7 linked regions of the Coturnix japonica genome follow. The protein of the gene in region 1 interacts with the protein of each later gene in a pairwise test. Links are inferred from orthologs where the notes say so. Each region holds a gene or a part of one and is shown in the gene's direction. Other genes may lie near its edges.

Evidence for each region.
Region 2: the proteins of C23H1orf94 (region 1) and GCC1 interact in binary tests that used the Homo sapiens proteins (3 or more experiments, as listed by UniProt). The two-hybrid records come from large-scale screens. The link is inferred for Coturnix japonica from reciprocal best matches to the Homo sapiens genes C1orf94 and GCC1.
Region 3: the proteins of C23H1orf94 (region 1) and BANP interact in binary tests that used the Homo sapiens proteins (3 or more experiments, as listed by UniProt). The two-hybrid records come from large-scale screens. The link is inferred for Coturnix japonica from reciprocal best matches to the Homo sapiens genes C1orf94 and BANP.
Region 4: the proteins of C23H1orf94 (region 1) and PLEKHB2 interact in binary tests that used the Homo sapiens proteins (3 or more experiments, as listed by UniProt). The two-hybrid records come from large-scale screens. The link is inferred for Coturnix japonica from reciprocal best matches to the Homo sapiens genes C1orf94 and PLEKHB2.
Region 5: the proteins of C23H1orf94 (region 1) and GSE1 interact in binary tests that used the Homo sapiens proteins (3 or more experiments, as listed by UniProt). The link is inferred for Coturnix japonica from reciprocal best matches to the Homo sapiens genes C1orf94 and GSE1.
Region 6: the proteins of C23H1orf94 (region 1) and MAPK1IP1L interact in binary tests that used the Homo sapiens proteins (3 or more experiments, as listed by UniProt). The two-hybrid records come from large-scale screens. The link is inferred for Coturnix japonica from reciprocal best matches to the Homo sapiens genes C1orf94 and MAPK1IP1L.
Region 7: the proteins of C23H1orf94 (region 1) and T-box-containing protein TBX6L interact in binary tests that used the Homo sapiens proteins (3 or more experiments, as listed by UniProt). The link is inferred for Coturnix japonica from reciprocal best matches to the Homo sapiens genes C1orf94 and TBX6.

The regions. Positions count from the first base shown.
Region 1 is NC_029538.1:4,086,562-4,090,676, reverse strand, and holds the start of C23H1orf94 (uncharacterized protein C1orf94 homolog), read left to right. Parts: upstream 1-1,315; 5' UTR 1,316-1,401; coding exon 1,402-1,634; intron 1,635-3,932; coding exon 3,933-4,115.
Region 2 is NC_029516.1:516,954-521,034, forward strand, and holds the start of GCC1 (GRIP and coiled-coil domain-containing protein 1), read left to right. Parts: upstream 1-1,281; 5' UTR 1,282-1,474; coding exon 1,475-2,608; intron 2,609-3,804; coding exon 3,805-4,081. UniProt on the Homo sapiens protein: Probably involved in maintaining Golgi structure.
Region 3 is NC_029526.1:16,147,893-16,151,392, forward strand, and holds part of BANP (protein BANP), read left to right. Parts: intron 1-2,697; coding exon 2,698-2,841; intron 2,842-3,500. UniProt on the Homo sapiens protein: Controls V(D)J recombination during T-cell development by repressing T-cell receptor (TCR) beta enhancer function. Binds to scaffold/matrix attachment region beta (S/MARbeta), an ATC-rich DNA sequence located upstream of the TCR beta enhancer.
Region 4 is NC_029524.1:1,001,502-1,005,001, forward strand, and holds part of PLEKHB2 (pleckstrin homology domain-containing family B member 2), read left to right. Parts: intron 1-560; coding exon 561-663; intron 664-1,559; coding exon 1,560-1,599; intron 1,600-3,260; coding exon 3,261-3,350; intron 3,351-3,500. UniProt on the Homo sapiens protein: Involved in retrograde transport of recycling endosomes.
Region 5 is NC_029526.1:15,698,913-15,702,064, reverse strand, and holds the end of GSE1 (genetic suppressor element 1), read left to right. Parts: coding exon 1-41; intron 42-135; coding exon 136-258; intron 259-345; coding exon 346-696; intron 697-915; coding exon 916-1,182; intron 1,183-1,377; coding exon 1,378-1,481; intron 1,482-2,397; coding exon 2,398-2,532; 3' UTR 2,533-2,652; downstream 2,653-3,152.
Region 6 is NC_029520.1:51,141,109-51,145,407, reverse strand, and holds the start of MAPK1IP1L (MAPK-interacting and spindle-stabilizing protein-like), read left to right. Parts: upstream 1-1,499; 5' UTR 1,500-1,628; intron 1,629-4,299.
Region 7 is NC_029530.1:7,255,187-7,259,336, forward strand, and holds the start of T-box-containing protein TBX6L, read left to right. Parts: upstream 1-1,350; 5' UTR 1,351-4,150. UniProt on the Homo sapiens protein: T-box transcription factor that plays an essential role in the determination of the fate of axial stem cells: neural vs mesodermal. Acts in part by down-regulating, a specific enhancer (N1) of SOX2, to inhibit neural development.

The DNA.
Region 1 (4,115 bases):
ACACGGAGCAGGGCGAAGCAGCCGAGCCCGGCTCGGGGCCGCCCCCAACCCCCGCCCTGCTTTTGCTGCAGTTGCTTTGCTGCAAAACCCCCTTCTTGGGGCTCGTTCCGGTTGCCCTGAATGAGCTTATTTGACAGCTTAAAAACAAATGATATCGAGGGCTCGCAAATCTGCCCCTCCGCCCTCGGATCCAGCCTCTCTCTCGCTCCCTTTTCCCTGTGTCCCCTCTGCATTTGAATCCTTCCACTGCCTACACTGTGAGCCAATGCCAAGAGCCAAGGCAACCAGCGCTGTTACATGAAAGAGTTGCTTTATGTCTGCTTAAACTGCAGTGTCCTATTCAAATAGACCTTATTGTTCAAAGGCACGGATCCAAATCGAAAAGGATCACAGAACAGGGTACCACACTTGACAGCTCTATACATCGCTTCTCCCTTACACAGCCATCCACCTCGGCCCCCAACCCCCAGGCTGTAGCCGGAGATGCAACTGGGTTGCTGCACACAGCAGAGCACAGCCGAGCCAAGGTCTGGAGCCCCGCACCGGGAGCAAGCAGCCAGCATAATCGAGTCATTGAGGAGACACAGTCCCACTTTATTCCTGGGCAATAACGCCATACCTATTGCAAATGAAGGGCTCCCAACTAAGCGTGGCCCCACACCTAGCAACGAAAGCTTACTCTCTCTTTAAGAATAAAAAGTATTTATTTGCTAAATGCAGTGTGATGAACGTAGAATCCATCACCATAGCCAACATCTATCACTGCAACTCATCTCTCCTCCCTGCCCAAACAGTGAACTTTGAGAACCCGAGAGCTTGGCAAGGGCACATAGAACAAATGCCAATACCAGGCACAAACCCCAACCCATGTCCCTTGGACTCTCCTTTCTCTCTTCCCCCCAATGAAGATCACAAACACAACCCTTGGTGATGAATGAGGAACCACAGAACCATTCACACTTAGGGAATTATGCCAGGAATTGAGAGAGTTTCACCACTAGTCATCCAGCATAGGAATGCAAAACATCTTACTAACTACCACATTTTACTCTTTCTTAACCATATCATCACTATTGGTAGGGAGAAAATAACATTTATCTGGGCAGAGGCATGAGTGAGCAGAGCCATGCGCTCTTTGGAGCTTCATCACCTGCGCATTAAATGGAAGAGGCAAAGCTCCAGTACAGAAAGAAGGGGGCAGGACAGCTGAATGCTGACCCTGGAAAGACAGGGATCTAGTTTATGAGAGGGGAAGCTCCCAGCTGTGCCAAGGACAAGCAGATATTTCAGTTATCAACTGCCAGGACCTGGCGTTCCGTGGTTGCCACGGCTCTTCTTTCCGTTTGCCATGTAAACAAAACACCACTCAAGAAGATAGCCTGGATGCATAGAGGCTGAAGGATGCTCACCAGCATAAATGGGTTTGCAGCCCCAGCAGTGAAATCAGAGGGGCCGTTCCCACTGGGGCCATACCCACGGCACATCTGGATCCACGACAACACGCCCCAAGACGGGCTGGACAAGGCCTGCCATGAGATCTGGAAACGGATGCAGAGCCCCCCCGAGGAGCTTCAGCCCATCATCTGCATGGACCCACAGGGACCCCCATGGAGCAAGAACGGTGCCCACAGCGGGTGAGTGACCACCAGCACTGCAGGACAAGGGGCTTGACTCCAACAGAGCCCTCATAACCCCTAGAAACAGAGAGCTGGAGCACAGGGGTGCTGTGTTGGCTTTGGGCAGCCTCTTAATGGGACAGAGTATCCCCATTTGTCCCAATATAACCAGTCTTTTTGGGAGAGCTTGTCCCATGAAAGCCAGCTACTTGAAAATCTGAAGCACCACAAGCAGCTGCTGCTTTTGCTTCCCCACAACATTTAAAGCAAAACAACTACACACACATCAAAATATTTACAGGAAGAAGTGAAAGCAGCATTCAAAAGGAACAAAATCGAAAATTAAAGTGTTATAAGGAAGCTACTGTAAACAGCTGATCTTTACAAAGAGAAGCTGAATTTAGCACAGAAAAAATTATGCCAAATCATGTTCTGCGGGACAAATGGTGATAAGGGAGGGAAGGATGCTCTTCAGATTAATGGGATAATATTTACTGTATGCTCCTGAAGTAGAAAAAGAGTGAAATTTACATGTCCAGCTATCAATCAGCAAGTTATTAGCTCGTGTCCACTTCTTAAAGCCTAAGTCACACATCTTGCCTGATACAGTGAAAAACAGCTGTCGTATCTTTTAAGACTAACATCACAGATTGAGAAAGCTGATAATTCGATGCTTTTAGCTGAAGACGTGGAGGATCAGAAGGGGAAATGCCCTATGCTGTGTCACTGTGAAACCCAGGGAGTACATCTTGGAGCCCTGACTCCTTTCCTTTCCCTTCCATATCCATAACAATAACAGTAATAACTGGCCTAGAATAAATGCACAAAGTGAAACCAAACAACCCAAGAATAACCAGTGAAGCCAATGGACTTGCACTGGCCTACAGCAGCAGGTCAACTTATGCTGCTGAAACATCTTGACAATTAGCACAAGCTCAGCCACGTAACTTGGTCATGCCAGCTGCTTGGAAGTCCAAGCAAAGAGATAAGGTATAAACCACTGTGAACTATTAAACGACATAAGCAAAGCCACCATTAGAAATATATAGGTTCAGTTTTTAGCAATTAATCTAATGCAGTGAGAGCAGCCCACCCTGCAGCCCACCCTCACGCCACTGTAATGGGGTTGAGGAAGCAGATAAGAACGATTTGGGACAACCAGCAAGGACCTGTAACAAACTCAACACCTCCAACTAAGATGAAATTAAACAGCCAGCAAAGCGCAGTGGCTAAAGCACCTTCCTCAGGGTCAGAGAAATGATTCATTGTTCTCCTGCTGATCTTTGAGTTACTTTGGGCAGCTGCTCTGACCCTTTCTGCCAGCAGCATTTCCCTGCATTCAGCAAACAGGCTCTTCAGCAAAGAAGTGCCCTCAGCATACACTCACACAGTGCAGTTCATTGCTCACCAGCTATTCAAAGACACCCCCCTGAGTCAATGAACCTTCCAAAAATACCAAACCTGAAGCAATGAAACCAAATCGCTGTACAGAATTCAAGGGAACTTCCTTAAAATCCCTACAGGTGAGGTCAGGTGTCCACCTCCAGCCTCGGAGGTGGCTGCAACCACCAATGGAGAGAGGAATCCCAGTGAAAGATGGGATAAAGCATTGTAGAAAATAAGCTTTCTTTGGAAATGACAGCAATTTTCTATTTTTATGCCCATAGTATAGGTTTGTTGAGGATTTTAAGGTATCTGTTCTTTAAAAATAGGGAGATAAAGCAGCATCCTGCCAATTATGGTGATCCTATGATTAGAGATAATTAGCTACATTTAACTATCCAGATTTCACTAATATTAGCAATCCATTTATGTACTATATATGTATCTGTACAGTGCATGCACAGAGCATCACTTCCCCTCAAGCTGAGGAGAGTAAATGGATGATACGTTAAGTTATTGAACATACCTGGCTGTGAAAGAGCAACGTGGAATTTAAAGGAGGATTTTGAGTAGGGAACCACTACAAACACTGAGTTGTGCCTTAGAGACACAGCATTGTTCAGCCCTGGCAGCCACCCCACTGTAAGTCCTAGAGGACTTCATGGCTTCCAGTCTGAAACGCCATCACCCAACTTCAGTTATTCCCAAATAGGTGTGTTAAGTTCAGATTTTGTTTTAATTTTCCCATTTTATGTGGTTCTTTGGAGAAGAACAGTGTCCTGGAGGTAGGTTTCATTCCGGTTGAGAAGGAATACTCGAGGCTTAAACGGAGCATAAATGAAACAGAAATGCAAGGCATAGAAGCAGTCAAGAAAATGAGTTCAATCTAATGTCAAGCTCTCAACAGAATCCCTATATTTCACATTCTTACAGGGACTGGTTGCTAGATGAAACAGAGGGACTTGAGAGCATATACAGAGCAGTGATTGGAAACAGAGAAAGAGAGATGAAATTAAGAGCTCTCTGCGATGCTCAGCTTTCTGCTAAATCCACCATCACCAACCTCCTGCGTTCAACAAGCTCTCCCAGGATCTCCAAGGGGTTGGGGGACAACAG
Region 2 (4,081 bases), on another chromosome or scaffold:
TCCCATCCCATCTTCATCTTCATTCTTATTATCATCCCACCTTCATTCTCATTCCCATCTCATCTTCATCCCCATCCCATCTTCATCCTCACCCACATCCTCATCCCATCCTCCCCATCATCCTTATCTTCATTCCCATCCCCATCCTCATCCCATCTTCCTCTTCATCTTCATTCTTATTCCATTCCATCTCATTCCTCATCCCCATTCCCATCTCATCTCATTCTTATTATCATCCCATCCTCATCCCCATCCCATCTTCATCTTCATCCTCACCCACATCCTCATCCCATCCTCCCCTTAATCCTTATCTTCATCCCCATCCCATCCCATCCTCATCCTCATCCCTATCCCACCTTCATTCCCATCCTCATCCCATCCCTATCCCATCTTCATCATCCTCACCCATCACATCCTCATCCCATCCTCCCCTTTTCATGCCCTTCATCCTTACCTTCCTCCCATCTCCATCCTTACCCCATCTCCATCCCCATCCTCATCCCATCTTCCTCTTCATCTTTATCTCCACCCCCATCCCATCTTCATCTTCATCCTTATTATCATCCCATCCTCATCTTCATCCCCATCCCACCTTCATCTCCATCCCATCCCATCCTCATCATCATCCCTATCCCATCCTCATCCCATCTTCATCCTCATCCCATCCTCCCCTTAATCTTTATCTTCATCTCCATCCCATCCCATCTTCATTTTCATCCTCACCCATCCCATCCTCATCCCATCCTCCCCTTCATCCTCATCTTCATCCCATCCCCATCCTTACCCCATCTTCATCCCATCTTCCTCTTCCTCTTCATTCTTATCATTCCATCTTCATCCTCATCCCCATCCCATCCTCATCCTCATCCCTACCCCATTCTCATCTTCATCCCTATCCCCATCCTCATCCCATCCTCATCCCATCTTCATCCTCACCCCCATCCTCATCCCATCCTCCCCTCCATCCCATCCCCATCCCATCCCCCCCCTCACCCCATCCTCATCCTCATTCATACAACGATGCCCCGCCCCCTCATTAAGCCCCGCCCCCAGACTACAAGGCCACGCCCCCAATCCTATTAGCCCCGCCCCCTCTGCTCCGTTCTGACACCTGATTGGTGGCCGCTCCTCGCCCCAAACCCTTCACTTTGCGCATGCGCAGCGTGGGGTGCGTCACCTCCAGTGGGCGGGGCTTAACGTGCAGGGCGGAAGTGGGTGGGAGGGCGGAAGTTAAACAAGGCGGAAGTAGGTGGGAGGGCGGAAGTAGTAGGGGCGGAAGTTAAACGAGGCGGAAGTAGGTGGGAGGGCGGAAGTTAAGCAGGCCGGAAGTAGGTGTGCGGCGGCGCTCTGGCTGCCGGTACCGACTCGTTGGTTGGGCCTGGAGGCCGCGGCCTGCTGTGGCCCGGCCCGGTCCGGAGGTAAGGCCTGAGCCCTGCGACCTACCCGCCCCCAGGCCCACCCCCATCCCGGAACCATGGAGAAATTCGGTATGAACTTCGGAGGAGGCCCGAGTAAAAAAGAACTGCTGGAAACCATCGAGTCGCAGAAGAAGCAGCTCCTGAATTACCAGGCCAGGCTGAAGGACGTGGTCATCGCCTACAAGAGCCTCATCAACGAGAAGGAGGCCTTGGAGGCCAGCCTGAAGGTGTTATCGGCGTCCCACGAGGCCGACATTGGGTTAAATGGGGCTCAGGCTCCATTTGTGGCCCCCTCCAGCTCTTCCTTTGCCTCCAGCTCTTCCCTTCCCTCCAACTCTTCTTTCCCCTCCAGCTCTTCCCTCCCCTCCGGCTCTTCCCCTCCTTCCAGCTCTCCCCATGTTGATCCCATGGATGATAAGAGCTCAGTTCACAGCGAGGACAGCATGGGAACGGCCGCCAGCGTGGACACAACAACCAGTTTGGGCAGCACGAAGGGCGAGCAGGGACCTGAGGATGAGAAACACGCAGCAGCTGTTAAATCAGATGAGGGGAATGGTTCCGAGGTCGGTACTGGTACCAGTAACAGCAATGGGGACGTGCCCTGTGCTGCCATTGAGGCCGATAAGCGGGTGCTGCAGCTGAAGAGCCAATTGGCCACATTGACCAGCGCCCTGTCCACGGTGACGCAGGAGAAGTCCCGCATGGAAGCGTCATATCAAGCCGACAAGAAGAAGATGAAGCAGGACCTGGATGACGCCATTAAAAAGGCGGAGGATGAGACTGACAGGTTGGAGACGGAGCTGAGGGTTGTACAGGAGCAGCTGGCAGAGACCAAAGCTCGACTGATCACGCAGCAGCACGACCGAGCCCAGGAGCAGAGCGACCACGCTGTTATGCTGAGGGAGCTGCAGAAGCTGCTGCAGAGCGAGAGGGCGTTGAGGCAGGACGCTGAGCTGAAGCTGGAGGAGACCAGGGAGGCATTGGCCGGCCGGGTGTGCATGGCTGATCGTGCTGAGGGCTACGAGCTGCAGATCAAGCAGCTGAGCCAGGAGGTGGAGGAGCTGAAGAGAGAACTGCAGGCTGTTCAGGAGGAGAGGAAGAAGCCGGACCCCCGGGTGCAAGACCTGCAGGAGGAGATGGCCAACCTGAAGAGCCACTTCCAAGCGCAGCTGCTGCAGGAGATGAGGAAGGTAATTCCCTGCTTGAGCCCTAGAGCAGCCCAATGTAGGGGGTACCAGAGCAGCAGATGGAGGCTTGAGGAGCCCAAATTCTCCCTGTGCCACATGCCACAAAGTCCGAAAGATTTCAGATAGGAGAAAATACCATAGTTTCATCTGATGGGATCATATACCCTGAGGAAAATTAAAGCTGTTGGCAATGCAGTGTATAAATCAGTTAACCACGGGTGGTTTAGGAGCAGTCTTTGTGGGAGTTACGTGGTGAGCATCGCTTGGTTCCGAGCAGCAGCTGGATTTGGGAGGAGAGCAGTGGCAATGAGCGTGCTCTCATCATAAATGCAATGCAAGGTTCGGTTCGGACTCTCTTAAAGGGAACTGACCTCCACATCCCCCTGCATGGAACTGTAATAGGTGAGCGGTGAGGCAGGTGGGCGATAAGGGCGGCCTGCTGAGCGAGGTGCTGGGCTGTGCATCTTGCTGTGTGTCTCTGCAGGCTGTGGGGCAGAGGGATGGAGGGCTTTGCTGCTGAGTTGGCAGCTGGAAGGACACCAGCATGGGATCCTCATTTCCCCACAGTCTGGAATAAGTTTTCAGCTTTCTAATCTGAAGCCTCTAATTATCAGCTTCGGGCTGATGGGATGCGATTAACCTTGTTTTGGAAGTGATACCCAGCAGCTTCTGTACGACAGGGCTGAGGATGGGCTGATCCCAGCTGTGTTTTGGCTCACAGTGGGGACTGAGGAGTGGTGCCACCTTCCACGTGCTCTTTAGGAGGTCAGATCTCGATGGTGATAGAAGCTGTGAGCTCCAGTGTTTGCTGTAGCTACTCAGAGCCCACTGAATTACGTTAATATTGGTGTAACAAAGCTTAGCATTTAGGTACAGTTAGGTGTAGGAAAGCTTTAGGGCACACTCAGACATGAAAAAATCCCACAGTGAGGTGAGCTTTGTGCTTCATGCCCTGCACATGCCTCCAGCAATGCACATTAATGCTGCTAACAGCAGGGAACAAATACAGAAACGCACTCGGTTTGTTTCATCCTTGAGTCTCTGTTTTAAAGATGGGCGTGTGAGAGTGTGGGGTGGGGGAGGATTGTTTGGAAACTAGGGAAAGGGTGTCCCTGTGCTTGCTTGGAGTTGTTCAGAGCAGAATGAAGGCCTGTGTAATTGCAGGGTGGTCTAACACCGCTGCATTTCTTTGCTTACAGACTGCACAAGCAGAGGAGCAGCTCCGGCAGCACGCCCAGATGGAGGAGCAGCGCGTGGCCGACCTGGAGGGGCAGGTCTCTGAGGTGTCAGGGCTGCTGGGCACCTACGAGAAGGCCAAACAGAAGGACCAAATGGTCATCCAGAAACTGAAGGATCGCATCGTGCAGCTGGACCAGGAGAACAAAACCTTGGCCATCGCAGCCTCCAGCCGATCCCCTGCTGATGTGAACGTGGAAGAAGCCAATCTGGATGTGAACGTTCTCAAGGATAAGATGG
Region 3 (3,500 bases), on another chromosome or scaffold:
GGGTGTCCAGAGCACGAATTAATCCCTTCTGTTAGAAGGAAAGTTTATTATTTTTCGGTTTAACCATATTCTGTTACCTGTTTTGGAGCAGCGAGGCAGGATGTTAGAGGAGCCCAGCAGAGCTCATTTCAGAGGTTCATTTTCAGGGCAGACTGTTAATTTTTGTGGTACAACTCCTTTATTTTAAGGTCAAGGGCAGGTAAGAATCACAAAGTCGATGTGTTGGTCTGGGAGCCGAGTGAGCAGCCAAAGAAAAGCCATATCCTCACACCTGCCCCTATTGCTGAGGTCTCTGTTTTACCACTCCTTCACTGCTCTACTTAAAGCCATTGATCCCTTGATATCTGTCATTTTTGCAGCCTCCCTATAAAACCTGTGGTATTGGCAAACACAATGGAATGTGAATACGAATATATTATATATAAACAATATATAAACAATATGAAATGAGGCAGATTGAAGTCATAGGGCTGGGGCTTTTATCTTGGTAAGCTTGCTCTCCCTGATTAGAGGGGGTCTGTTTGGATCCGTTTGGATCTGCTGTATGAACTCTGTCCTTTTACACATCCTAAGACAGGGAAGCTGGTGCTGTTAGCAGCTGTAGGCTTCTTTGTTGTCAAAGCAATTTGTGTGCATGAAAGGGGCTGGTTTGGTTGCTTGAAGTCATCCTGAAGTTTGTGCTTTGGAAGTTAATGAGACAAGATGCATTTTAGAGCTGCGGATAATCAATAGGACAGACTGCCATGTAGTTCTGACAGGGCGTATCATGTCGTTCCAAAGTAAATAGTGCAGGACAAGAGGCTTTTGCTTGCTCCTGTAAAAACAGAACGCAGCATCCTTTTGCAGCTCAGTGCTGACCGTATCTCGGAACACCCAAGATCCCCATAAAACCCTGCCAACACCCCAAAGGTCCTTCCTAGGGGTCACCTCTTGGCCTCCCACACTCCCCAGGGAGGGGTTGTGCTGCCCACTCCTTCACGGCCACCCACCCTCCCATCAGCTGGGAAATCATACTTGGGTAAGGGAAGCTTTTGTTCAGAATGTTATTTTTGCTCTCAGTTCTCTTTCCTCTGTTTGAAAGGCATCTTTTGAGCGCTGTGGTTCAAATACCAGAGGTAGTTAAAAACAAAACAGCGCTCACAGCATATAGAAACCTAAACGGAATTTGTGTATTTTGGCTGCATTTTGAAATGAGATCGGGGGACTTGCTGTTGTTCACATATGTATATTTTATTCTGAGTTGTACTTAAGTAGTAAATTACAGTCGCTCTCGTCACAGGGATGCATTTAAGCAAGCGATTTTGGGTGAAGCATCTGCTCTTTTGTTGCTCTTTGGCTAACAGGGGACCCAGCCTCAACCAGCCAGCATGAAGATGTGTAGAGTCAGTGGCTGCGAGCATTAATTAGCAGTAATTTGTAAATCTACACCTTCGTGTACAATGGGAAGATAAACATTGCTGCAACAAATTGTCATAAGTTGAATGTGTTTGGCTGTGAGAATAAGTATCTTGGCTCCGTCTCTCTATTTATATAACAGTGAACACATTAGCTGGGGGGTGGCTGTGTGCTATTGACATTACAGCAGCGCTGACTGCTCTGTCTGTCCCACTTACCCTTTGCAATAATCATTAGCAGAATTATGAACCCTTCATCAATTATCTTTTGCAGCGCTTAGGGAGGTGTCATTTATCATGAGGGCGGTAACAGCCCACTCCTTAGGAAAGCCACTATCTCTCGTTGGAAGCAGTTGGCCAAAAAAACCTCTTTTGAAATGTTTCCCAGCCACGGGAGCGCAATATTTCCGTGCAAAGAGACAGCAGCAAGCAAGCAAAACTGAACAAGTTCCTTTTTTTCCTCCCAGCAAACCTGGCTTCTACCCTCTGATCTTCAACCTGAAGGTGTGAGGATGCTAGAAGTGAACTCAGTGTCTGCCTTTTGTTACCCCCTCCCTCCACCCTCTCTCTTTCTGCCATCATAAAACCAAGTAGAAGGGGTTTCTAAAGCAGATTCCCCCAGTTCAGTGCTGTGGCTGCAGAGCTCATCCTATGAGGAACCTGAGCTGATGGAGCTGCTGCGCTCATCTGCCGGCTGGCAGAATAAACAGATCAGTTTTCATAGCTGCAAGCTGTGAAACAGACCATCTCATGCTTACAAACTATACAGCATAATCAGTGCTTTGGTTTTTCCCTCTCTTTGGCTTCTTAAGTCTACAAGCCTTGCTTTTGCTTGGGTTGCAGGTAGGGAATTGGATGCACTCAGAGAATATAGACGTGGTAATTGGACTGGTGACTTAGTGTGCTAACTGTTGTTAGAATGAGTTGGAATTAAAATGGACCTATTTAGCACAGGCCACCAGGATGATTTATTCCTTTGCTAGTGCTGATACAGATAGGGGATGACTTACTTTGTGTTTAGGATCATAAGGGAGCCAAACCTTTCCAGGTGTGGTGCCCGTTAACCCTTCCAGGGAATACAGGTCTCATAAGGCAAAATGCAGTGAGAATCTTATGTGAGAATCTTCCATGTGTGTACCACCTCCTTGGGACCCACATTATTTAAACTGCTACTGATGTACATATTTTCTCAAGTTTCTGTTGAATCATGTTTGGTTGTTGCATCTGTTTTCAGGTCGATGTTTCCTAATGCGTTCCTGGCTGTGCCTGTTCACAAGCTGTTTCTCCTTTGCTCTGCTTGCAGGTGTTGCAGGGTGCTCAGCTGATAGCTGTTGCATCTGCCGAGCCTGCATCAGGAGGAGTTGATGGATCCCCACTGCAAGGCAGCGATATCCAAGTCCAGTATGTGCAGCTCACACCTGTGACAGACCACTCTGCAACCAGCCAAGTATGCCTGCATATATGTGTAGAGATATGTGTATATAAATATATATGCCAAATTATTAAGATAATTTTCCTAAAGGTAAATAGTGGTTATTGACTATTCCTTCTTTGGCGTTGTTGCTCATTGCCCCCAGAGAACAGTTATTTTGGTCACCATTGTTTTTCTGCATCCTTGAGGGCTGAGAGCCATTTTTACAGGACGTGGAGGAAAAACTGGCTCGGAAACTATCCAAAAAGTGTTTTTCAGACTGAGGTTTCTCTTTAAAAAGTTATTCTCTTTCTGACAGAAGTTTTCCAGTTATTTTAATCCACAGCCTGGATTTCCCACAGGAGCTGCAATGTATGCAATTGTAAGTGAACACTCGATGGGCTCAGTTAAGGTGGAGGAGGTGTGTTTTCTTTCTTTCCTTGGTCAGTTTGAAGAGTCACGTAGCTGAGGCTGGAACCAGCCCAAAGTCATGCCTGGTGGCAGTGCAGGCATACAAAAGAAGCAGTTGTTCCATGAACCCAACTGGAGTTGGCTCCTTTCCTAAAGAATCCCTAATGCTTGTGAGAGATGTATTGGCTTACCAGCCAGGATATAATGTTATCCTCAGCAACCAATCTTAGAAGGGAATTTTGTCACGTAGATACCCAGTTTTGCAGAGAGTTCTGATCTGGCTG
Region 4 (3,500 bases), on another chromosome or scaffold:
GTGATATCACCATGTGACAGATTAGGTTAGTGCTTGGTACTTCCTTTTACAACTCAATGAGGACAGTATACCTTACATGCAGGTGGCAGGCTTGCATGAGAGACCAGGATGTTTGCAGTAGGCTTGTGTGTTTGATCATGGAGTGTTACTGATGAAATTACAGTGCTGGCTGGAGGGAGAGATGGGATACAAAATGGTGAACCTTAGCAGATTTTTCTCAAGCGTTACAAAGTTCAGCTCTGGCATTTATTAGTACTCCATTTGATGTGCATCAGTGCCCAACATAAGTGTTGGGCAATACTTACAGCTAGGTACAGGTTGGTTCAGCTGTAAGACAGTTGCATTTATTGAGCTAGTTCAAAGCCAGTTACCTTCAGGATGTATTCTAAAGAGAGCAGGTTATGTCCTACTATAAGTTGTTTTGATGTCATGGAAAGCAGCTACAATTGGCCACAGTTTATTTTGTCAGGAGTTTTGCATAAGCTGTCGCCCTTCTTGTAAATGGGACAGTGAAATTCTGGTTGTAAATTCTTCTTATCTCTTCTTTTTCCCCAACTCAGATTTCCAGCCTCCGGAGGGAAAGCAGAGAGACTGTTTACTGCAGATTGTCTGTCGGGATGGAAAGACCATCAACCTCTGTGCAGAAAGTGCAGATGACTGTTTGTAAGTCTACCTAATAATGTTATTTTTTGCTACTTTTTCTTCTTTTATCTTTTTTTTTTTTTTTTTTTTTTTTTCCCCTCTCCTTACTGTTCTTCCTTCAGTTTTTCAGGGATATATTTCAAGAACATTTTAAAGCAGGATTTCAGCTACAAAAAAGACGGCTCTTCCATGAGTTGTTTAACTCACATAGATGCAGTTCTTGCAAACTAACTGCAAGTTTAGTCACTGGAAACACTGGGGGATGAGAGGAGTAAAAGCATCTTAGTAATATGGCTAATGCAAAACATTCTGAATAGGTTTTATTTTCACTTCTCTCCTCCTTGAAGTAGACCCTGCGTAGCCCAAGGAATTCCCAGTCATTAAAAAGAATAGTACTCCAGTACTGTGACCTTGACTGTGTTTAGGTGGATAACATCTATCACCAGTGTTTGCCAAGTATTCATAGTTGTAGGGCACGCTGTCAGCCATACAGCATGGGAGTATCTGCAGGGAGTGCGTGTGCCTTCTGTTCAAGCTGCACAGATGCAACTCTTCAGGAAGAAGATACAAGTTTTCTGATGCATCTCTTCCTATTATTTTGTCCTAAGCATGGCTTTGTATCACTTGCCTGTTGGACTTGCAGCAAAGGCCTTCAGATGTGTTCCTTATCAGGGTCCTTTTCTTGTTCCTTCTTACTCCATCTCAGCTCTGCTAAGGAAATAATTATTTTTAGTCTTGGTGTAACACTTTGATGCATTCATTTTACAGTATCATTAGGCTTTGACACATGGTGCATCTGAAATTCTGCTCCTGCATTACCTGGAGTTCCTAACATAGTTTTCTTCATAGTACTAAAATGAATAAGAGGCATTCATTTTTATCTGTGTTCCACTAAACGTTTTTTGTTTTTTTGACAGGGCATGGAAAATTGCTCTTCAGGATGCCAGGACAAATGCAGTAAGTGCATTACTTTATACTGAAAACCTCTACTAGAAGGTTATGAAGATGATTAAAGCTTATATGCTGGGGGAGGAGTGTGGATCACCTGCATGTCATCCATGCAGCCAAAGTGAGGCAAATACGGACTGAGTGATTTCTGAGAGTAATTTCTCTGAGTGAGAATAAGTGGGAAGCTGGTCTGTATAGGAAGTGTGCACTGAGGCTTTATGCAAAAAGTAAATCTGTAACCAGTGAAAATGGACTTTCTTTTCCTTCTATTTGTGGTCTACCAAGTGCTAAAGGAAGCTTACTATCAGTATACTACACTTTTGACCTAAAAAGGAAGATGTTTTTAATGTAGATCCATTATAGAGCAGGATGGCTCTTGGCAGAAAGCAAGAGGTACCTGGAATGAAGCGTAGGTATGCCAAGGAGTACGTTACCTCTGCTTCAGCATGCTAGCTGTGTTTAGCAAAGAGTTCAGAAACCAGAAGAATTTCTCTGTGAGTCATAGAGCTCACCAGAAGTGGTATCTTCTGGGAGCTGTAAAGATCTTCTTCCTCCAGACTGCCTTCCAGAATGCTTTTTAGCCCTGTCTGTCCTTAGATGAATAGATTGAACCAGCCTGAGATGTTTCAGTGGGAAAATGCAGTATTTTGAAGAAGCTTGTTTCAGTGTTTGATGGGTCACATTAAAATTGCCTCTTCACTGACACATCTGTCATATGATATAATTTAGATGCCCAAAGCAAACACATGTCATTGCAAAACTATTCTGGACTCAATTGCCAGCGTACAGCTACACTATGTGTGTTATTTTGTTAAATGAGAAGTTAAGGAGTATTCCTCATGCAGAGGACACAGTACTCATAATCTGTCTGCTCTGGATTTAGTGTATTTATCTTGTTGTATGTGAGACAGTGACTCCTGATTTCAGGAGCCTTTGTTTTTCATCCACCTGATACTATGCCCCGTGACATTAAAAACCTGCCAGTGCCTCAACTTCTTCAGCCAAGGCAGACCCCGGCCACTGAAAGTAGGGCAGACAGCTGTCTGCACAAGATATATATGAAATCAGTACTTTCCAGAGCTATTACAGCTCTCCAACTGGACTTGAGCTTGGTCAGGAAATTGGCTTTGAGTCCATTTGCTGGTGCTTGATACAGCTTTCAAAAACACAAAGCTTCTAGTAGTGCCTCATAACTTCACTGGAATAACCAGATGATCATCCTAGCTTTGAGAACTATGTCACTTAAAGACATTTGCAGGCTTATGTCCTATGCCTGTATAGAGTTTCCTGCAGCAAAACAGAATACATTTACTGCTGAGAATTGAGCACTCATAGAGCTTCATCTCAGGCATTAGAAATACCTGCCTCTTAATATAGTGCTTTTAACAATGTGTTTCAAACAATTCTTAGAATTTCTACCACAAGTTTCCTTTAGGATATGTCCATAAAACACCATCAAAAGTCCTTCTGTAGTCCAGTTAGAAGAGCTGATAGGAACATTATCTGTTGAGCATATTAAAGCATATAAAGCTTTATGAGGCACTCTCTGCTTTCTTAACATGCAGCAGATCTAAATGTTCTCTTGGTGTCATTAAGTTTTAAACCCCTTCCTCCTCTAATTGGCTGTCTGCACAAAAAGGTGTTGTCTGCTATCTTTCCATGGCATTCAGGGCTACGTTGGATCTGACGTGATGTATGATGAGACAGCGATTTCCTCAGCCCCTCCTCCCTATACAGCTTATGCTACACCATCACCGGAGGTAAGAGTTGTAGTTGGGAAGCATTAATATAAGAGACGTAGTAGAAGGAAGCATCCTTCAAGCACCCAAACTGTACTCCCAAAGTGCTGTGTTTCATAGACACATCCAGCTTTAAGGTTTGTACAGATGGACAGTGGGAATGAGGCACTA
Region 5 (3,152 bases), on another chromosome or scaffold:
CATCTTCAACCTCACGCACATCAGCGCCGAAAAGAGGAAAGGTAACGCCATGCCCCGTGCTGGGGTGGGGGTCCCCGTCCCCGTGCCGCGGGGCTGCCTGGTGCCCGGCTGAGCAGAGGCTACACTAAACCTCAGCTTCCCATGCGGCAGACAAGGAGAAGCTGGTGGAGATGCTGCAGGCCATGAAGCAGAAGCCCACGCCGGCTGCTGTGGTGGTGAAGAGCTCTCCGCAGGACAGCCCCATTGGCCCCAATGCTGGTAAGCTCCTCCATTCCACTTTCCCTATTCACCTCCTGTGCCCAATTGGGCACCACTGTGCCAACACTTCTCCTTATCTACCCCAAGAGCCACCGCTGCTGCTGGACCCCGATAAGCCTGTGGGTATTGTCACCTCCGTGCCTGAGGTGCAGAAGCCATCGGAGCCGGGCAGAGTGGAGCCTCTGAGAGCTGCAGAGCTGCCCAGGGTGAAGGAACCAGCTGAGAAGCCCCGGTTGAGCGATGGGCACACGGGGAAGAAGGCACTGAGCATCCTCAGCTACGTCAGGGGCCCTCTGCCCAAGGACATCCCTGTGCCGCTGTCCCACAGCATGAATGGCAAAAGCAAACCTTGGGAGCCCTTCATTGCTGAGGAGTTTGCCCACCAGTTCCACGAGTCCGTGCTGCAGTCCACACAGAAGGCGTTGCAAAAGCACAAAGGTACCGAGCCGGGGCAGGGACCCCATGGGGATATAGGGAGGAAATCTGTGGGTTGGCACTGTGGGAAAAGGCATTTGTTAACCCCAGTCCCAGGGAATCCCTGGGAAGGATGATGGAGAGGCAAAAATGTGCTGGGAAAACACAGCACAGGCAGCAAAACTCATTTGTGGGGCTGAGAAAAGTCAGCAGGGAAGGGGGGCTGACACTCTGTGCCTGCAGGGGGGACGGCGGAGCAGAACCACAAACTGGACGCCTCCATCCACTACAACATCCCTGAGCTTCAGGCCTCCAGCCGCCCTCCTGCCCCACATAATGGCACGGCTGAAGGGCACAGGGCACTCGCCCCACCGCTGCCACGGGACCGCCGTGACTCGGCCTCTGAGGATGAGGAGGAGGAAGATGAGGAGGAAGATGAAGAGGAGTGCCCCAGGCCCAAGTGGCAAGGGATCGAGGCAATTTTTGAAGCTTACCAAGAACATATAGAAGGTAAGGACTGGGGAATGGGGCTTGGTGGGGTGTTAGCCACAGGGCCATGTCACCAAGCATCACGTCATGCCCTGCTGCCCCCAGGCTTTGACAGCCAGACCTTTCCCACCCTGCTGGCAAAGGGAGGAGGTTTTGTCCTGGGGCTGGCAGGGAGTGATGGCTTTCAGATGCTCACCCCATCCCTGTGCATTGCAGAACAAAACCTGGAGCGCCAAGTGCTGCAGACACAGTGCCGGCGGCTGGAGGCCCAGCACTACAGCCTGAGCCTGACAGCAGAGCAGCTTTCGCACAGCATGGCGGTGAGTGGGGCTTCTGGGGGGGCACCTGGACTCCGTATGGCACCCTGGCCTCCCAGAGAGGCACCCATCCTTCTGCAGGGTCCCCATTGTCCTCTAAGGTCCCCATCCTCCTGCAATACCCCCATCCTCTTGCATTAACCCCAAATCCTCCCTCCTGCAGCTCCCCATTCTTTTCAGTCTCCCCCATCCTCCTGCAGCACCCCCAAATCTTCACTCACTGCCCCCATCCCCTGCAACCTTCCCATTCTCTTGCACTGTCCCCATTGTCCTACAAACACCCCCATCCTCTGTAGTGCCTGATCCTCCTGCAACGGCCCCATACGCCTGCAGTGTCCCCATCCCCCTTCAATCCCCCCTATTCTCCTCCAATGGTCCCAGTCCTCATGCAGTCTCCCCATTATCCCCAGCCTTCTGCAATGTCCCCATCCTCCCCTAAGGTCCTCATTCTCCCCTAACATCCCCATCCTCCCCTAACGTCCCCAAATGTCCCCATCCTCCCCTAATGTCCCGATCCTCCTTAAGGTCCCCATCCTTCCTTAAGGTCCCCATCCTCCCCTAATGTCCCCATCTTTCCCTAACATCCCCATCCTCCCCTTAAGGTCCTCATTGTCCCCTAATATCCCCATCATCCCTTAAGGTTCCCATCCTCCCCTAATGTCCCCATCCTCCCCTAACGTCCCCAAATGTCCCCATCCTCCCCTAATGTTCCCATCCTCTTTTAGGTCCCCATCCTCCCTTAAGGTCCCCATCCTCCCTTAACATCCCCATCCTCCCCTAATGTCCCCTCCTCCCCTAATGTTCCCCTAAGGTCCCCATCCTCCTGCAGTTCCCCATTCCCCTCTATGTTCATCCCATCTATGTCCATCCCACCCCCTGCACCTCCCTGACCGTGTTCCCTTTTCTTTCCTCCCTACAGGAATTAAGGACCCAGAAGCAAAAGATCGTCTCAGAACGAGAGCGACTGCAAGCGGAGCTGGATCACCTGCGGAAGTGCCTTGCCTTGCCTGCAATGCAGTGGTCTAGGGGTTATTTCAAGGGGTATCCCAGGTGACGCTCCTTGGGCCGGGCCGAACATAATAGTCTAGAAATAATAATAATCTATTTTATTACCTTGAATATTTAATATTTTTCACTGGGGAGGTTTGAAGCTAAAAAAGAAAAAAAAAAAAAAAAAAGAAAAAAAAACGAAGAAGAAGAAAAAAAAAATAGAAGGAAAAAAAAAAAGAATAATAATAATAATAATAAATAATAATAATAATAAAAAAGAAAACGAAACAGAGAATGTGCCATGCATGAAGCAAAGGGCGGCAGGAAGGGGGGGGGGAGGAAGGAGGGGAAGGGGGGGGCTCTGACCTTGTGTCCTCCCCCCACCCTTCTGCCCCCCTCCCCACCCCCCCCAACACACACACACACTTTATATCGCTCATTTCTTGTTTTCTAAGTCCTGATGAAAGACTCCACCGCCCACAACACTAAGGCTGGAGGAGCCCTGCAGGGGGAGGGGGGCACCCCTTCCTTCTCATCCCACCCCCCACTTCCCATCACCCCCCCACCCCCCCCCAGCTTTGGGCTCCCCCAGCACCGCACTCGGCTATAACCAATAAAGTCCATGAACCCCTTGGAGCAGCGCTTCGTTCCTGGGGGGCACAGAGGGGGGAGAAGGGGTGGGGA
Region 6 (4,299 bases), on another chromosome or scaffold:
CATTATTTCATGTTATCATCTGTCAGTGGGATCCGTGGCTGGAAGCCAAGCAGCAAACGGCACAAAACTCATTGAGAGACTGAAGATTGCAACACCGGACCAGAAAACAGTGTCAGCAATTGGGCAGGGGGAGGGGAGAACAGGAAGAGGATTGCGAAAGGCCTGGAGCCATGAGGGAGGGAGAGGGTGGGGAAGAAGAGACAGTCAGGTGGGTTTCACTGATGTGAATTTTCTCATTCCTGTTCACTGAAGAACAAGTGAAGGGAACTGTCCCTGCTGCCGCCAGCCACAACCTGCAGCTCTGAGCTCTGAAAGCAGCTCGTGCAATGGCCTGATGTGTGATCAGGGCTCTACTGATGTGTGATCAGGGCTCCAGCGTGCAAAGAAAATGTACCCCAAGAAATCCACTCCTTGTCACAAGGCACCCATAGTGGAACACCAGCGACTGTCAGTGTCTGCCATGACAGCTCACCTGCTCATAACTTACTGTGTCCAGGTGTGGAGCCCTCAGTACAAAAAAGACATGGAGATTTTGGAAAGGGTCCAGAGGAGGGACAGGAAGATGATCAGGGGGCTGGAGCACCTCAACTATGAGGACAGGCTGAGGGAGTTGGGTTTGTTCAGCCTGGAGAAGAGAAGGTTGCGGGGTGACCTCATGGCAGCCTTTCAATACCTGAAGGGAACTTACTTGCCAGGAGGGGGTAAACTCTTGGAAAGGGCTGATAATGGCAGGACACGGGGAAATGGTTTTAAGTTAAAAGAGGGAAGATTTAGGTTGGATGTTAGGGGAAGTTCTTCACTAGGAGAGTGGTCAGGCCCTGGAACAGGCTGCACCAGGGAGGTTGTGGATGTTCGCGTCCTTGGAGGTGTTCAAGACCAGGTTGGACGGGGCCCTGGGCAACCTGATCTAGTAAAGGTGTATGTTTGGTGGCCCTGCCAGGCAGGGGGTTGGAACTACATGATCCTTGAGGTCCCTTCCAACCCGGGTCATTCTGTGATTCACAACAAGCAGCAGCGCTTCCTTTCCAGCTCCATCCAGTTCATCTCATCTCCTCAATAGGGCGCATTTGCACTTTGAACCAGTTTTATGACTTTATCTTTACTTCAACAAGCTTCTGCCTTGAGAAAGAGCACTTATTAACTCAGGACAACGTCATTTTTGGATGTTGTGTTGAGGAATATGATTTAGGCGGGAAGTATTGGTAATACTTGGACTAGATGATCTTCTAGATCTTTTCCAACCTTGATAATTCTGTGATTTTCAAAGCCATTTATTTGATGATCTCGCTGTTCCATCCCATCCCCATCCCTGCAGGCATTCAAGCCCAGGCTGGATGTGGCTCTGGGCAGCCTGTGCTGCTGGTTGGTGACCCTGCACACAGCAGGGGGTCGCTCCTACAGCTGGGTAGGGCACAGTGTGTGTGGGGTGGGGGCTGAAGGAAGTAATGGCGACATGGGGGCGGTGTTAATGGCAGCGGGCGGTGCTTCTGGTGCTCGCCCTTCCTGTCGCTGTTAGGGCGGGCCGTGTGACGCAGTTCCTGTTCCTCCTTGCCGTAGCGGTGTTGGTGGTGCTGCGGGCCGCCCGCTGCCTCCACTCCGGCCTGTGCTGCGCTGCGCTTCTACCGCAGGTACCGGCCCCAACACGGGCACCATCACACAGGGATGAGGGGTGGGGATGGAGGAACGGAGCTATGGGGTGCAGCGCCCCTCCCTACAGCCATAGGGCCGCCCCCGGGGGCTGCTGGGCCGTGCCCATCCAGGCCCTGTGCAGCGGGGCGGTGCCGAGGGTCGCGGCGCTGAGGGGAGGGGCGAGGAGCTGAGCTGGATGGGCTGGAACAGCGATATAGGGCTCGGGGGGAGGGGAGCGACCTGCTGCGGCCGGGGGGTGTGCTGGGGGGATCTGGGCTCAGCCTGTGGATGGGTATAGAAATGATGTATAAATAACTGTGAAGCGTTTTACGTGGAGAGAAATGCAAGCGGTTATTGCGTCTGTACCTTCAGTGGGAGGGAGGGATACTGAGTTGGGCCTAAAAACCCACCTCTTAAATGGTTGAAGAGATGGGGTTGGACTCGATGATCTCCAGGGGTCCCTTCCAACCCCTACAGTTCTGTGGTTCTGTGATGTCCCCAATCTGTTGTAGCTTGTGAGAAGTCGTTTCGTTGTCTCAGGTGGTGACTCACTGACAAAGGGAGCACAGTGCACTATTGAAGAGCCCTGGACTGCTTATCAGCTGCTTATGAGCTGCTTATGAGCTGCTGATCTACCTGGGGAGCTGCTTATCTCCCAGGGAAGGGGTATTTTGAGGTGCATCCCATGGAAGGCACGAATCACCTCCTGCTGTTTGTTCAACCGTTTAGTCCGGGGATGTAGGAAACAAAAAGGCCTTTATTCTTTAAATAATAGCTCTTTTAAAAGGCACATCCCAAAGCTTCCCTTCCTTAGGTGGGACCGATGAGAGGAGAGGCACTGTAGGTATTTTTGAAGCTGGAGTTCATTCAAGCAGACCTTAACAGTGTGAATTCAAACATGAAAAGGTACCAACCGCGTCCATTTATTGAGGCTGTATCCTGAAAAGCTTCCTGGAAAGGAATCTCTGCAGAAGGGTGTGGAGTTTAGTTCGTCATCGGTGAGGCTGATACTGGCAGATGACACAGAGTTTTGGTGTTGCTTTAAAAACAACCCGGTGCTGGAGGACCTTTGCTAAGTGCTCGTGTTTAGCTGACAATTCACAAGTATATAGCGTTGATAGGAGGAAGATGGAGGTGATCACCCAGTCCCAACCCCCTGCTGTGTGCAGGGTCACCAACCAGCAGCCCAGGCTGCCCAGAGCCACATCCAGCCTGGCCTTGAATGCCTGCAGGGATGGGGCATCCACAGCCTCCTTGGGCAACCTGTTCCAGTGCGTCACCACCCTCTGGGTGGAAAACTTGCTCGTAAGTTGTAGCCAGGATTGAGCTTTGGCAATGGACACTTGCAGTTCTCAGCAGTGATTTCTAGTCGCTGGTTTGGGCATCATCTGTTTGTAAGCACCTGAAGTGATCAGGTCTCATCTTAGGAAGGGGGGCAGCTGTAAAACGGAACAGCTTGTCTTATATGGAGGAACAGAACAGCTTACAATTCCTTCTGGCTGTATATTTTACAGGTCTTGGAAACTGGTAAGACTTGTGTTTTGAATTGTTTTTTCTGGTAGTGGGTAATTTATAGCAAAGGCGCTAACGAGCATCATTGTGGTTGTCATTGTGGATGAGATCAGTGCTGACAATCTGAAGCCTAAAAACCCTCCTTCTGCCTTCTTTTCCGTCAAAGCAGGCGTAGGAAAGAACAGAAAGATCGCCGCATCGAAAGCAGCTGCTAACTATGAATCTGTTGCTTTTCATCTTCGGTCTGACTGCCATTTATTCTCCTAATGGGTAAAGGCGCAGGTCAGGCTAAATGGTTGCACAGTGCTCGAGTGTGGCATCTTTGAGATGATCTTTTAGACCCTAAAAATGGAGAAGGGACAGCTATAAACTGCTGGTGCTTGAGGCCTAAATGGAGCAGCTGCAGTAGAAGCTGTCATTGGTTTCTTTTCCATTTGATCTGCGTAGCTGTGTTGGATAGTTACAGTTATGTGGGCAGGACTCCTGTTGTAGATGAGGTTTTGCTGGTAGGCATTAGTCATGTCACAGTGACAGAAGAAGCTCTTTGCTGATAGAGCTGTGCCACCCAGTGGAAATGCAGCTGTGCCTGTTGTTGCACTGAGGTTTTCTGTTGTTGTTTGGAAGATGATCTCGGGGGAGGCAACTCTGAAAGGGCAGATAACAGCAGGACAAGGGGAAATGGATTGAAGTTGAAGGATGGAGGATTTAGGTTGGATGTCAGGGGGAAGTTCTTTACTGTGAGAGTGGTGAGGTGCTGGAACAGCTGCCCAGAGAGGCTGTGGATGCCCCGTCCATCCCTGGAGGTGTTCAAGGCCAGGTTGGATGGGGCCCTGGGCAGCCTGGACTGGTATCAATTGTGGAGGTTGGTGGCCCTGCCTGTGGTGGGGGGTTGGAGCTTCGTGATCCTTGAGGTCCCTTCCAACCAGGGATATTCTGTGATCTCAGAGATGGGAACTGAATCTGTCACATCAATAGTGAGCAAAGTGCCATGCAGCTGATGAAGTTATGAAAGCAGTTTGAATCGCTTTAGCAACAGAAGGAAGAAGGGTTTGGGGCAGCTCATTCTAATGGCAGTCACCAGGGACCGGTGATGGAGAAAAGCCAGGGAGGGCAAGAGCATGGGAAAAATGCTCCTGCATCGCTCATTTCCATGTGGTT
Region 7 (4,150 bases), on another chromosome or scaffold:
TTTGAGGTATGAAGACTGAACATTCGAATGTCGTAAATGAATTTGTCCATTGAAAATGATCGTTTTTCTTTATTCTTCTAAACATTTTGCTTTTTTCCTCCCCTCCCAGTTCCTGTTAATGTGCATGATCTTGATCTGTCTTTGATTTCTAGCCCTTCTTTTTTGAGAAGGGTTTAATGTTTTGTTGAAGAAAGATTAGAACAGTAAATGAAGCTGTTCAACTCAGCTAAGAGTCCTGAACATTGCTCATCTACTCTTAAATGTTTGTAATTCTTATTCAAATGTTTTATCTGATTTTCTCTTTTTTAAATCTATAATCTTTTATTCCCATTATGGTCTCAGGTAGCTGGAGGGCTTTTTGTCAATCCCAGGAAGTTATTGAGATTGGTGTGACTGCACAGGCCACCTCCTTCAGATCTTGTTCTTCTGCCAGTAGCTAAATGATGTGTTGTTTGATGTGACAGGGCTGTCTTCCACACTGGACATTCTTGCTGATCTGTGCTAAAGGAGCCATTCATTTTGTTTATGTGAGATTATTGAATAGTAGAATGGCTTGTATTGAAAGGGACCTCAAGGATCATCAAGTTCCAAACCACTTGCCACAGGTGGGGTTGCCAACCACTGGATCAAATACTAGATCAAAACCCCCTCCATTCTGCCCTTGAACACCTCCATAGATGGGGCATCCACAGTCTCTGTGGGCATCCTTTTCCAGTACTTCACCACTCTCTCTGTGAAAAACTTCCCAATGTCCCTAGAGCTTGAAATCATTCCCCTTATTTCTTATTTTCTTATAATCTCCCCCTTTGCTCTGCTGCTCTGCCCTCTTCTGATGCAGCCCCTAGAAACCAAACTCTGGAGAGAAGATGCCAAGATGATTGGATGCACTGCATATCATAATATGCACTGCATATCATAATATATGTTTGTCTGAAGCACGCTGCCAAAAGTTATTTTGGAGGAAGATCTTCAAATCCTTTATGAACAGAAATATGCACTTAATATAGCATCTTCTGAAGCCTGGCAGTCTAGTTTTGTGAAATTTTCAAGGGAAAAAAGAAGCCTTATGATAAAACTGCAATGAGTTAGTGGGTAATTTCTTTGATTTCAGTCTAATTCTAGTTGTTTTAGCTTGATATCCAAGCATAGGCAAGATCAGACTTCTAACTCCTTCTTTTCAGTATTGCAGATCAAATATAAACACAATATCTATCTAGAGGATTTACTGGATAAGCACTGCATCTGAAATCTTTGTGTTCCAAGATGTCCTTGTGATGTTGTGCCAGACAAATAAATAGCTGCTACTGAAGTATACTGCTTACACACACACACACACACACACATATGTATATATATATATATATATATTTGTTGTTTTTTTCCTGTGAGGCTGAAGGGAAAAGAATGTCTAATGCCTGAAGGAAACATAAAGGTAAGTTCTGTGTTAAGTTTAAGAAGCTGTTTTTGTCATGTGAAACCAAAAATCGATTATAGGTTAATGCTGTAACATCGGAAGACCTTTAAAGATAGAAATGTTTGCCAAATAAAATATATCATCCAACTGAAAATTCATTTTTGTTTAGAATAATTGGAGCAGATCTGCATGTTGTTGTGGTTGGAAACAATTTCCCATAGGAACAGATAGAGAAAGAAAAAGTACTTATTACCTGCTTCCTGCACGGTGGGTTTTTTGTCTTTTATAACGTAAGTCTCATGTGTGTGGCTGTGTGCAGCTGCGATACTGTTCTGTGGGAGCCTTGCTCTGGATTTCTTTAGGTCACTGCTGACCCTCAGGAAGAGTCAGTCTTAAAGCACATATATACAGAACGCAAATGCTGGCATTATTTTTTGCTGTACTACCCCCAAGCCGTCTATACAGCAGTTATATGAGGTGTTTGCCATGTCTTTGCTTCCATACCTGGAAAGGCTCCAATGCAACCTCACAGCACTGTAAGTATGGATGCCAAAGCACTTTCCTGTATATTAACTCCAAAATATGTTCTGTCCTATGAGTGGATTTATCTTTAATAAAATTCTGTGTGTGAATAAAAGCCAGACACACGGCATGCCTGGCTGGAAGGCCATCCAAAGGTGTCAGGGTGTGTCTATAGACATGCCCAGCATTCGTCCCGTGCTGGTCTGAAGTTACACTAGCTGCTGTCTTAGCGCTAGAGGGTGCCCTAGGACAGGGAAAGAATAAGAGAGGAAGGATCTGTCTTTACATTTCTGAGAGACAAAATTACATTGTTGTTTTTGACCTCAGGTACTTCCAAGGGCCTTCCACAGCTCTACTAACCCATATGTCCTTTTTGTACTTGTAGAGACTGATTCCAAGCAAAGGGATGAAGGGAGAATCTTCACAATAAGTTTAGAGTATTCTCTCATTCATGATCATAGCAAAAACAAACAACCCACCACCAATAATACTGATAATACAGTTAGCAAAAAACACCCAGAAAGGTACGTGCTCACTCTGTTATTAATATGACAACTCTGGCATGAAAAGAGATACACTCAGTGCTTTCTTTTCATATTAAGTCTATTTGTCTCCTATTTTTTTTTCCCCTTATGAAAAACCTACTGGGTATTTCTCATTAACATTCACTGCACCATATCAGAAAGAAAAGAATATCTCTTGACAGTCTTGTGCTAAAAGGCTCAAGTGGTACTTTAAGCTTTATCATTGTCAATCCTGATTAATCCCACCTGGTTCTTTACAATAACATGGGGTTTGTGTCACTGTGACCTGCACCTGGGGGTAAGTGATAGATGTGTAGCTCACAGCTCTGTAAACCATTTTGAGTTCATTTCATTAAAGAAAGTCTTAATTAAGGGCAAAAGCACATGTGAGGATTAAGAAAGAAATATGTAGCTTTTAAGCTTGAAAAAAATCTGGTATAACAATCTCTAAAGTAGTCAGGAGCTGAGATCAATTACTGTGGTCATCTTGCAGAGATGTGCATGAAATAGGACAGTGAGATGGAATTGGGGCTGTGAACTGACTGCAGGATCAAAAAAACAATCTTCTGCCGTGGGGAAAAGGAAAGTCGCACTTCTGCCCACAGTCAGGAGTTATCTGTGCGACTAGATGATTGTATATATATCTTAGTACAAAAGCATTCAATTATATAACCCCAGTGGGAGGAATACTTCTCAATGTCTAAGCACATCATCATATTAAAGGAAACTGCCTGTCTAAAACTAAGTCAACAAATGTGTTAAAAAGTGATTTTGCTGTGAGATCAGTCACTGATACCCCCTTACATTTATTTCTCAGCCTATTTTTTCTCTCCCTTCCTTTTCAAAGACACAGTAAATTAAAGAATAAATTGAATATAAATCAGTATACATGGTAGGATCATATGGGAACCAAACTGGAATGAGATTAGTTGACAAAGGTCATTTGTCAGTGTTTCAGACGTAGTATTTCCTATGTGAATACTTGTGACTCTTAATGTATAACTGCAGTTAGCTTAAGAACTTGACTGTGTATTCACTTTCTTTTCTTTTTAATTGTTAAAGGTTTTTGCCAGATTTGGAGGGCTGTTCACAAGAAATGATTTACAGCTGAGTTTAATTTACAAATAGTCATTGCGTGAGTTATCTAATGTAGCACTGACCACATGTTGCTCAATAATAATTAGAAAGGATAATGTATGAACAGCAAAGCTTCATTCTCTACAAGAGAATCAGAGAACACTTCTAATGTAAATCACACTGGAGATACAGTTTCCTTAGGTTATACGCCCAGATGCTTAAACAGAGTAATTTTCTCTTCTAAATATGTGCTTCTGTATACTCTGTTACTCCTTCAATATGTGATCATTTGCATTTTCTCTTGAGAGCTGAACTCAATGTATTCTTAAAGAATAGTTAGTTAATTGAATCAATGTGTAAAAGCACTGTGCTATATGAATGTTGGAAAGCATTAGTTTGAATATGAAGTTGTGTCGCTTAGGAATGTCTAGACTTACGTTAGATTTCCATCAGATTGGAGTGGGTAAGAAAAATATTAAGGTTTAGAAATTCATAGTGAAAGTTATTGAGCTTGCAACATCAATTCACAATGCTCAGGTTGTCAGTTCAAGTTCAACCAATTAAGAGTGCTGCTATGACTCTCCCAATAGATAACACTGCTGGAAACACTTCC